2 linked regions of the Rattus norvegicus genome follow. The protein of the gene in region 1 binds, or shares a complex with, the protein of each later gene. Links are inferred from orthologs where the notes say so. Each region holds a gene or a part of one and is shown on either strand. Other genes may lie near its edges.

Evidence for each region.
Region 2: the proteins of Atp7a (region 1) and Atox1 are in contact, whole or in part, in an NMR structure (PDB 2K1R), measured with the Homo sapiens proteins. The link is inferred for Rattus norvegicus from reciprocal best matches to the Homo sapiens genes ATP7A and ATOX1. Residues at the interface, in NP_000043.4 of Homo sapiens: Cys19, Asn20, Ser21, Cys22, Trp24, Thr25, Gln29, Asp67, Asp68, Met69, Gly70, Phe71, Asp72; in NP_004036.1 of Homo sapiens: Thr11, Cys12, Gly13, Gly14, Cys15, Ala18, Arg21, Val22, Lys25, Lys57, Thr58, Gly59, Lys60.

What each region holds. Positions count from the first base shown.
Region 1 is NC_086039.1:75,227,275-75,231,086, forward strand, and holds part of Atp7a (copper-transporting ATPase 1), read left to right. Parts: intron 1-164; coding exon 165-326; intron 327-1,609; coding exon 1,610-1,686; intron 1,687-2,111; coding exon 2,112-2,337; intron 2,338-3,349; coding exon 3,350-3,583; intron 3,584-3,812. UniProt on the Homo sapiens protein: ATP-driven copper (Cu(+)) ion pump that plays an important role in intracellular copper ion homeostasis.
Region 2 is NC_086028.1:40,077,619-40,082,164, reverse strand, and holds the start of Atox1 (copper transport protein ATOX1), read left to right. Parts: upstream 1-1,603; 5' UTR 1,604-1,701; coding exon 1,702-1,707; intron 1,708-4,546. UniProt on the Homo sapiens protein: Binds and deliver cytosolic copper to the copper ATPase proteins. May be important in cellular antioxidant defense.

The sequences.
Region 1 (3,812 bases):
CGTCATGAAATCAGAATCCTAATAATAATATCAAAAGGATACTCATTGCACAGATGAAACCTTGTAAGACAATCCTGTGTTATGATAGTCCTTTGAGTTAGAAGTACTAAATTTTTGTAGAAGGAAAGGGATATTTTTAGTAACAAAGGCTTTGTTTTTAACAGGTGAGAGGAATGACGTGTGCCTCCTGTGTCCATAAAATTGAGTCAACGCTCACAAAACACAAAGGGATCTTCTACTGCTCTGTGGCCCTGGCAACGAACAAAGCACATATTAAATATGATCCAGAAATTATTGGTCCCAGAGATATTATCCATACCATTGGAGTAAGTCTTGATTTTGTTTTTCTGTCTTCCCTTTCCAGTGAACCACCTTCTGGAATCACATCTGGTTTACATTAGACAGAGACAATGAAAAGACCCCTTCGACTGTCCACATAAGAACATTAGTGTGTGTCTGCTTTTGTTACCCCCAACCCCCATGGCCTTCATCAGGAAACTTACATGCACATTTGTACAATTAAACCAAGAGCAGACCTGAGCTGGAACTGTCAATCACTTAAAGTATTTAGGAAACGGATATAAAGTTAAATTTGTAAGAAAGACTCTAGCAAATCACTATAAAATTAAAGCATCATGCTGGATGTGCTATGGTTTGTTAAAGCAAATCAGAACAAAAGAAAACAAAAAAAAACACTTTCAAGTTAAATGCAACCCTTTGTGCTAACTTCATCCCATGTACTTCAGTGCATCTTAAGCAGTTATATACATGTATTTTATATTTATATTGTGCATATTTATACTATGCATTGTCAGTGTGCTATGAAATTGACGTTCTGATGATTGACAGTGTATTACAGTTCACTGTATATACTAATATCCTATTATTTGAGGCAGATATACCATCGATATCTGTGGAGCTGGCAGTTCTGAGTATCTAGCCACCTTCAGCAGGTACACAGATGAGTTGCCAAGCTCCAGTTTTAGATTCTCAGAGCAGGGCTGCCATCTTATTCAGAGGTGAAACAACTTGAGAAGCTATCTGTTGAGTTCCATGAGACTTTATGCTGATCACGCTGGCCCTGGAGCTCACGTTTGCTCCTTTCACCACGTTACGCTGCCAACAACTAGAAGATGGCAGCCGTTTCCCTAGCAGTTGAAAACGTGGTGGTTTCAGTTATAGAACTCTCTGAGCCCATGTGCATCTTACTGAGGTGTAGTTCCCTCTTCAGACTTTGCTGTAGTGGGGGAAAGGACTCTGGTTCATGTTTTTTAAGGTGGAACATAAATGAGGGCAAGGCCTTGGACAGTGTATTTACTATAGTGCTAGATTTTTTGCACTGTCGGTGGAAATGGCTATTGCCCTTAAGTGAAATTGCCAGTTTACGAGCAGCAAAATAGACAGTAGCTAGCCTCAATGTGCTCTTAATTTCTTCACAAACTTAGAAACCAGATTAGTCATGGGCAGAAAGCTCTGGACAGCTTCATGCTTCTATTCCCCAGAATGACACTGACTCAGGAATTGAACTGAGTTGTTCTAAGTAATAACAACATGGCTTAGAATATCTCTGCATGGAGTGAATTGACATTTTTCTCATGAATTTCCTTAGAACTTAGGTTTTGAAGCTTCTTTGGTCAAGAAAGATCGATCAGCCAACCACTTAGATCATAAACGAGAAATAAAACAGTAAGTACTTTGGGGTTGTTAATAAAAACATTTCGACTCCTTTTAGAAATTTAACATCCTTTTAGCATGTCAATTTTTACTCTAGTATTTTTTTTAAGATTTACTTTTACTTTTCAATTGGGTGTATGTGTGTATGAGTGTATGACACATGCATGCAGGAGACTGTGGAGGTCAGAAGAGGGCGTTGGATCTGCTGCTACTGGAGTTATGTGTGCTTCTGAACTGATGTGGGTGGAAGGAACTAGACTTGGGTCGTCTGAAGCAGCAGTAGGAGCTCGTAACTGCAGGGACATTGATTGCTCCAGCCTCATGATATCTTCTTACACTGAGTGAGATGGTTTTTCTGTAGCACATAGAATATTTAACTTTTACGTTACTCACTAACTAAAAATGTGTTTTTTCTTTGAAAAATATTTTCATTTAAGATGGAGAGGGTCTTTCCTTGTGAGCCTGTTTTTCTGTATCCCTGTAATGGGACTGATGATCTATATGATGGTTATGGACCACCACCTTGCAACTCTAAACCATAATCAGAACATGAGTAATGAAGAAATGATCAACATGCATTCTTCTATGTTCCTGGAGCGTCAGATCCTGCCGGGACTGTCCATTATGAATTTGTTGTCCCTTTTATTGTGTCTACCTGTACAGGCAAGTGACATTATCAAGTATATTATTTGATCTTCACTAAAGGTTTAAAAGTGATGGCTCAGGGTGTTGTTCAGTGGTAGATTACTTGTCTAATATACTCAGAGCCCTAGGTTCAATCCCAGTACCGCCAAAACCAAAAGCAAAACAAAAGGCAGTAGTACTAACAATTGCTTAATGCCAATTGTACTAATGGAAGACAAGCCTTCCTGTTATACTTCCACCAGAACCCGTGGCTTGTGATTGACTTTCTGAAAAGGGCTACATATCATATATTAAAAAAAAAAAAAACTGGGCTGGAGAGACGGCTCAGTGGTTAAGAGCAGTGACTGCTCTTCCAGAGGTCCTGAGTTCAATTCCCAGCAACCACATGGTGACTCACAACCATCTGTAATGAGATCTGATGCCCTCTTCTGGTGTGTCTGAAGACAGCTACAGTGTACTTATATATAATAAATAAATCTTTTAAAAAAACTTTCCAAAATATCTAAATTATCTTCCTAGTTTACTTGTTTAAGCTAGGATCAAAAAGGAAAATGTGGATCTCTGTGAATTCCAGGCCAGCTTGGTCTATAGAGAGAGTTTCAGGACAGTCAGTGCTACACAAAGAAACCCTGTCTCAAAAAACCAAAAAAGAAAAAGAAAAGAAAACTCGCAACAGCCCTCTGAGGTTTTTTTTTAATGGTATGAAGTATTCATTGCATCATAGATGATGTCCCTTGGTGTCTTGCACAGCAACTTGAAGGCCTTGTGTACATACCTCTGCCAAAGTGCAAACTTGTTCCTACTCAAAATCTCCCTCTTACAGCCAGGTGGAGTGATGCATGCCTATAAGCCCCAAACCTCGTCAAGTTCAAGACCAACCTGGGCTTACATGTGAGGCACTATAACAGTGTTTATGGACTACTTAAAAGGCAAAGGAAGCAAACATTGATACTTTATGCTAAGTTTACTTAGGTTTACATATGAATTTCAGTTTTAGGAAAATTCAGTAATATTCACTTTTCTGTTACAGTTTTGTGGAGGCTGGTACTTTTACATTCAGGCTTACAAAGCGCTGAGGCATAAGACAGCAAATATGGATGTGCTGATTGTGTTGGCAACCACCATTGCATTTGCCTACTCTCTGGTCATTCTTCTGGTTGCAATGTATGAGAGAGCCAAAGTGAACCCTATTACCTTCTTTGATACACCTCCTATGCTGTTTGTGTTTATCGCACTAGGCCGATGGCTGGAACACATAGCGAAGGTAAAGTAAGAAAGGGTGACATTTGTTAAGATAGTGGATCAGTCAAAGACCTCAATGTTTTCTCGACCACTCATTAGAAATATGCATTGATTTATGTAGTTAATCGTTTTACTTTTAGCAATATGTTCAGCAAATTTACCAAGTTTATATCACTGCCAGGGTTAGAGGATACCCATGGTACTTTGTGAGAACCATTTGAGAGGTAGTTATTAGTCATATCATATTGTTA
Region 2 (4,546 bases), on another chromosome or scaffold:
GTGTGTGTGTGTGTGTGTGTGTGTGTGTACAGTCACTGTCTTCCCCTGCTTCCAATTCTAAATGATGAGATTAACGGTGTTAACTACCATGCCTAGCTATTATGTTCTTACATTTATTTTAGTTCATTTTATTTAAGACAGGTTTTCCTAAGGTTCAGACTGGCCTCCAATTCATGACTTCCCTGGCCTCAGCCTCCAGAGAATAGGGGGAGGGGTTGTTTATAGACACCTGTGTCGCCATCCCCACCCGTTGCATCCAGCTAGTCTTAGATTCTTAGACTTTTCTGTTAACCAACTTCTTATAAGTTCTATATTCAAATTTTAGTATAGTTTCTGACTGAACCCATCCTGACACACAGAACGACAGATTGCCTTCTTAGTTTAGGGAACTTCTCTTAGCCCTCAGCTCAAGGACACAAATGGCTGGTGGAGGAGATAAATCTAATCTGTTGGTCCTTCTGGCACTGTCGAGGAAGCCCGTCTTCTACATGCGTATCAATTACCCATGAAGTAACTTGGTCGACTGGGCTGCCGTAATTGGGTGAGAAAGACACAGTCTCCCAGGTTTTGTTTTGTTTTGTTTTTTCTTAGGATAAGAGTGGTTAGATCTTTTTTGATAAACTTGACACAAGCCTCGGTCATCTTGGAAAAGGACTGTAACTGAAGAATTGGTTTCATCCAATTGGCCTATAGGCAAGTCTGTGTGGGTATTGCTCCCTCCTGAGTGCTGAAATTAAAGGTCACAGCCACCTTGAACTCTGGATCCTCTGGGTCCTTCTCCCTCAGCTTTGGTTTGGTTTGGTTTGGAGACAAGATTTTTTTTTCTTTTTTTTACATAGCCCTGGATGTCCTGGAATTTGCACTGTAGATCAAGCTAGCTTTGAACTCAGAGATCCGCCTGCCTCTGCCTCCAGAGGGCAGGGATTGAAGGCACCACTTGGCCCTCAACTTTTCAAGACCTGGTTTTAGAGTTGTGTACTGATTTACTCTGTGCCTTACACTTACATTTGGTTTTGTTTTGTTTTGTTTTGTTTTAAATATGTTTTTCAGGAAAGGGTCTCAAGAAGTCCAAAATGGCCTTGAACTTTACAGCTGTGGTTAGCCTTGAACCTAGAAACCTTCTACCTCAGCCGCTCTAGTAACTGGGTCAACAGACCTGCCGCCCTAGGCCAGGCAACTGTAGTTTAGGGACTGAGTAATAAGCAAGAGAGACGGTCCCTTTAGGGAAATACCAGATCCCTCATTCCTAGAGCCTTGGCCTCTCATTCCCTAACCTTGTTTCAGAAATGACCCAGTAGAAGGTACAGGTCTGGTCTCCACAAATTAGCCTCCGACTGGCCCCAAAGAGCCTGGCGGGTCCGAAGAGAGGGGGTACCTAGTGAAATAGTCATGTCAGAAAGGGGCGGTAACCAAGTGGAAGCCAGCCCAAGGGAGGAGCCTGGCTGTAACTGGGACCGAAGGGATCGGAACAGTCTTCCTCAAAGGGCGGGGCCTTGCGGAAGCTAGACCCCGGAAAGGGCGGGGACTAAGTAGAGCCCATCCCTAGGGCGGGGCCCGGCCGAAGACTGGGTTGGCCTGAGGGCGTGGCTTCCAGGAGCGCTCTCCGGAAACGCCGCTTTGGTGTTCGGGAGAGGCGTTCTAGTCCTCGCCGCCGCCTGTGCCGCCGCCTGTGCCGCCTGTGCCGCCTGTGCCGCGTCAGTCATGCCGGTGAGTGGCCGTTCGGCCCGCGGGAACCTCTGTCTCCGGCCTGATGCACGGTTTCCGGGCCAGACGCAGCAGTTAGGGCATAGGCCGTAGCCAGAGCTGCGGTCGTTTCTCACTTTACCTTCCGTACCGGTCCTCCAGCTTCGCGACCCTCGGGAAAGCTGCAGAGAGCAATGTTAATGCAGAACATAGGCCTCCGGATCGCTCTAGAGAGTCTTTAAGAGGCAGCCCCATCCTTTTCTGCATGATGGGAAAACTGAGGCAGGGAGGTGGGGCACAGAACCCACATAGGGATGCCGGTACCTGTCTTTTCCACGTGCATGCCCCTGCAGCCGTGCTGATGGGTTTCCAGAGAAGCAGGTCTGTGTTCACCTCTCCAGCCCACTCTGGCGTACTTCCATCTCAGCACTGGACGACACTAACTCGACAGGGTACTTTCTTCCCAACCAGGAGTTCCCAAAGCTCTGAGCAGAGTTTGAGGAACCGAGAGCAGTGCTTATCTTGCCTTTGAATTCACCCCACTCCTTGCTTAGTTAAATGACGACCTTACATGAGGCCTTAACACATTACACAAGAAGAAAAGAAAAACCCCAGTGCTTGTGGGAAAGCATTTTATTGTTGGAAGCTAGGTAGGATCCAACCTGAAGCCAGACCACCTGGGAAGTGCTGGGCAAAACCAGTTGTACGTGTTTGGGGGCAAGGTCTAATCTCAGTTGAGTTCCCGAATGCTGGCTAGAGCTATGGAGTGGGGAGCCTTTTCCTCCCAGTCTCTCAGCCCAGAGGTCTCCCAGGAGTATTCCATGTTTTAGCAGCTTCACTTCTGAGAATGAACCTGAGGCTTCTTCCTGGTACGAATCCTTAAACCTCTCAGGTGTCTTGTGGTTCTTAAACCTCTCAGGTTCTTGTGGTTCTTGCCCTTTGTCTTCAGATCCTAGCTGCACAAAGCACAAACAAAAAACTTAATAAAGTCCATCCTACCAGGCACGTTTGTCTAGTCTGCCCTGCCAAGTGACAGACTCCTTGATGAACTTAGGATGCCAGAGTGGAAGCTGCCAGGCTCTTGGGGGGGGGGGGGCAGCAGTGAAGAAAGAAAAAAGCTTGAGGACCTCTCCATTCTGTGTCTGCCTCTGGGGATGCAGGATTTAATGGGAGACAAATGGGCACCTCATCAAGCCAACTGCTAAATGCCGGGAAGATGTTGGTCAAGTGCTGCCTCCAATTTAGCCAGGGAAATAAGTCTTACCCAAGACGACTTGTAGACCAAAGCTTAACCCAGAAACCTGAAAGTCTGCCCTTGGTTGCCAACTGGGCAGCCTCTGACAAGTTGTTCTGTCTCTGAGTCTTTATCTCCTCATCTGTAAAATAGGGGCTGAAAACAGATCTTTTAGGACTAAGGTTGGTATTAATTAGAATTAAATCATCAAATGCGTACACAGCCAGTGATCCATCTGTCCTGAAGGAGTAGTGACTCATGTTGATGTAGGTCAAGTGGGGTAGAATTGAGTAGTCAGGCTTCTACCTCATTTTAACCTGGACCTCACTGGTTAAAAGTTCAAGTTTTGTGTCCTCTCTCCAACCTAGGACCTACTACTCATGAGGTGTGTCTCCCTGGTCAGTACTTAATCCCAGAGCTTCAGCTTTCTCCTCTCAGAAAGAAGAATTAGTTTCCTGGCTTGTGGAATTATTGTAGCGATTAAAGGAGACAGTGTAACAAGGTGTTTAGAAGAAGGTCCAGCACATCAGAGATGCGCAGATACTAGTAATCAGGAATCCAGACACCAGTGTTTAAAGACTCAGTATCCTCTAGAGGAACAGTGTCATTCTCCTCTTCTTCCTCCTCCTCCCCCTTCTTTTCCCCCTCCATTCCTACTCTTCCAGGTCTAGAGTCTGTAAAAGAATCATACTACCTACTGGCTTTCTGAACTAATAAATACAATATGTAGTACAACATTAATATACATTATACTTAAGAGGATTCATTTTGTTTGTTATCATTACAGAGCATCACTGTAGCCCAGGCTGGCTATGAATGAATACGTAGCCCAGGATGATTCTTAAACTCAGAGCAATCTTCCTGCCTTAGCTTCTCAAGGGTTGGGATTATAGAAGTGAGCGGCCACACCTAGCTTAAAAGTTTTGTTTTGTGGTGCTAGGTGTTGGGCCCAGGGCCTGTATGTGCTCTGCCACTGACCCTCAAACTCAGACCCTAAAGGATCCTTTTGTAAGGGGTCTAGTGGCACTAGGGAGACACCCAGAAGGTGGAGCAGGTCTAGGGATACTCTTGTGAACACTGGATCACCCTGTCCCTTAGGCCAGCTTTCCGTCATCATGTTTAGTTGCACAATTTGTAGGCAGAGATAGGGAGCTCTGAGTTGGAATTTTGGCCTCCTAGGGCGGATCCCTGGCCTCTGACCTCTGTACTGTGAAAGAAGTCCTTTCTTGCTGTGGTCCTCAGTTTGGAGCTCAGGTAACCATTGACTTTAGCTCCTTGAGCAAAATTATCCTCTGAAATCCCCTTTCAGAGCTTCTTCTGAGAGTAGGTTGTGGGAGCTGGACACCTGGCTGTGCTGAGAGTTGCCTGGAGCAAAGAAAGCCTCTCTTCCCTAGGACCCTTGCACACATGACCTCACCACCATAGTGGCTCCTGAGCATAAGGAAACGAATGCTTTTCTTTTCAAACTAGAAAAATGCTGCAGAAAGGGGACCTGAGGGTTGCAGGATGGGTCAGCTGGTAAAGATCCCTGTTGCCAAGCCCAGTGACCCCTGACATCCACACTTAGGCCATGGGACACACTCCCACATGCAAACAAGTAATTATAATTTACTTAACTACTTACTAGCT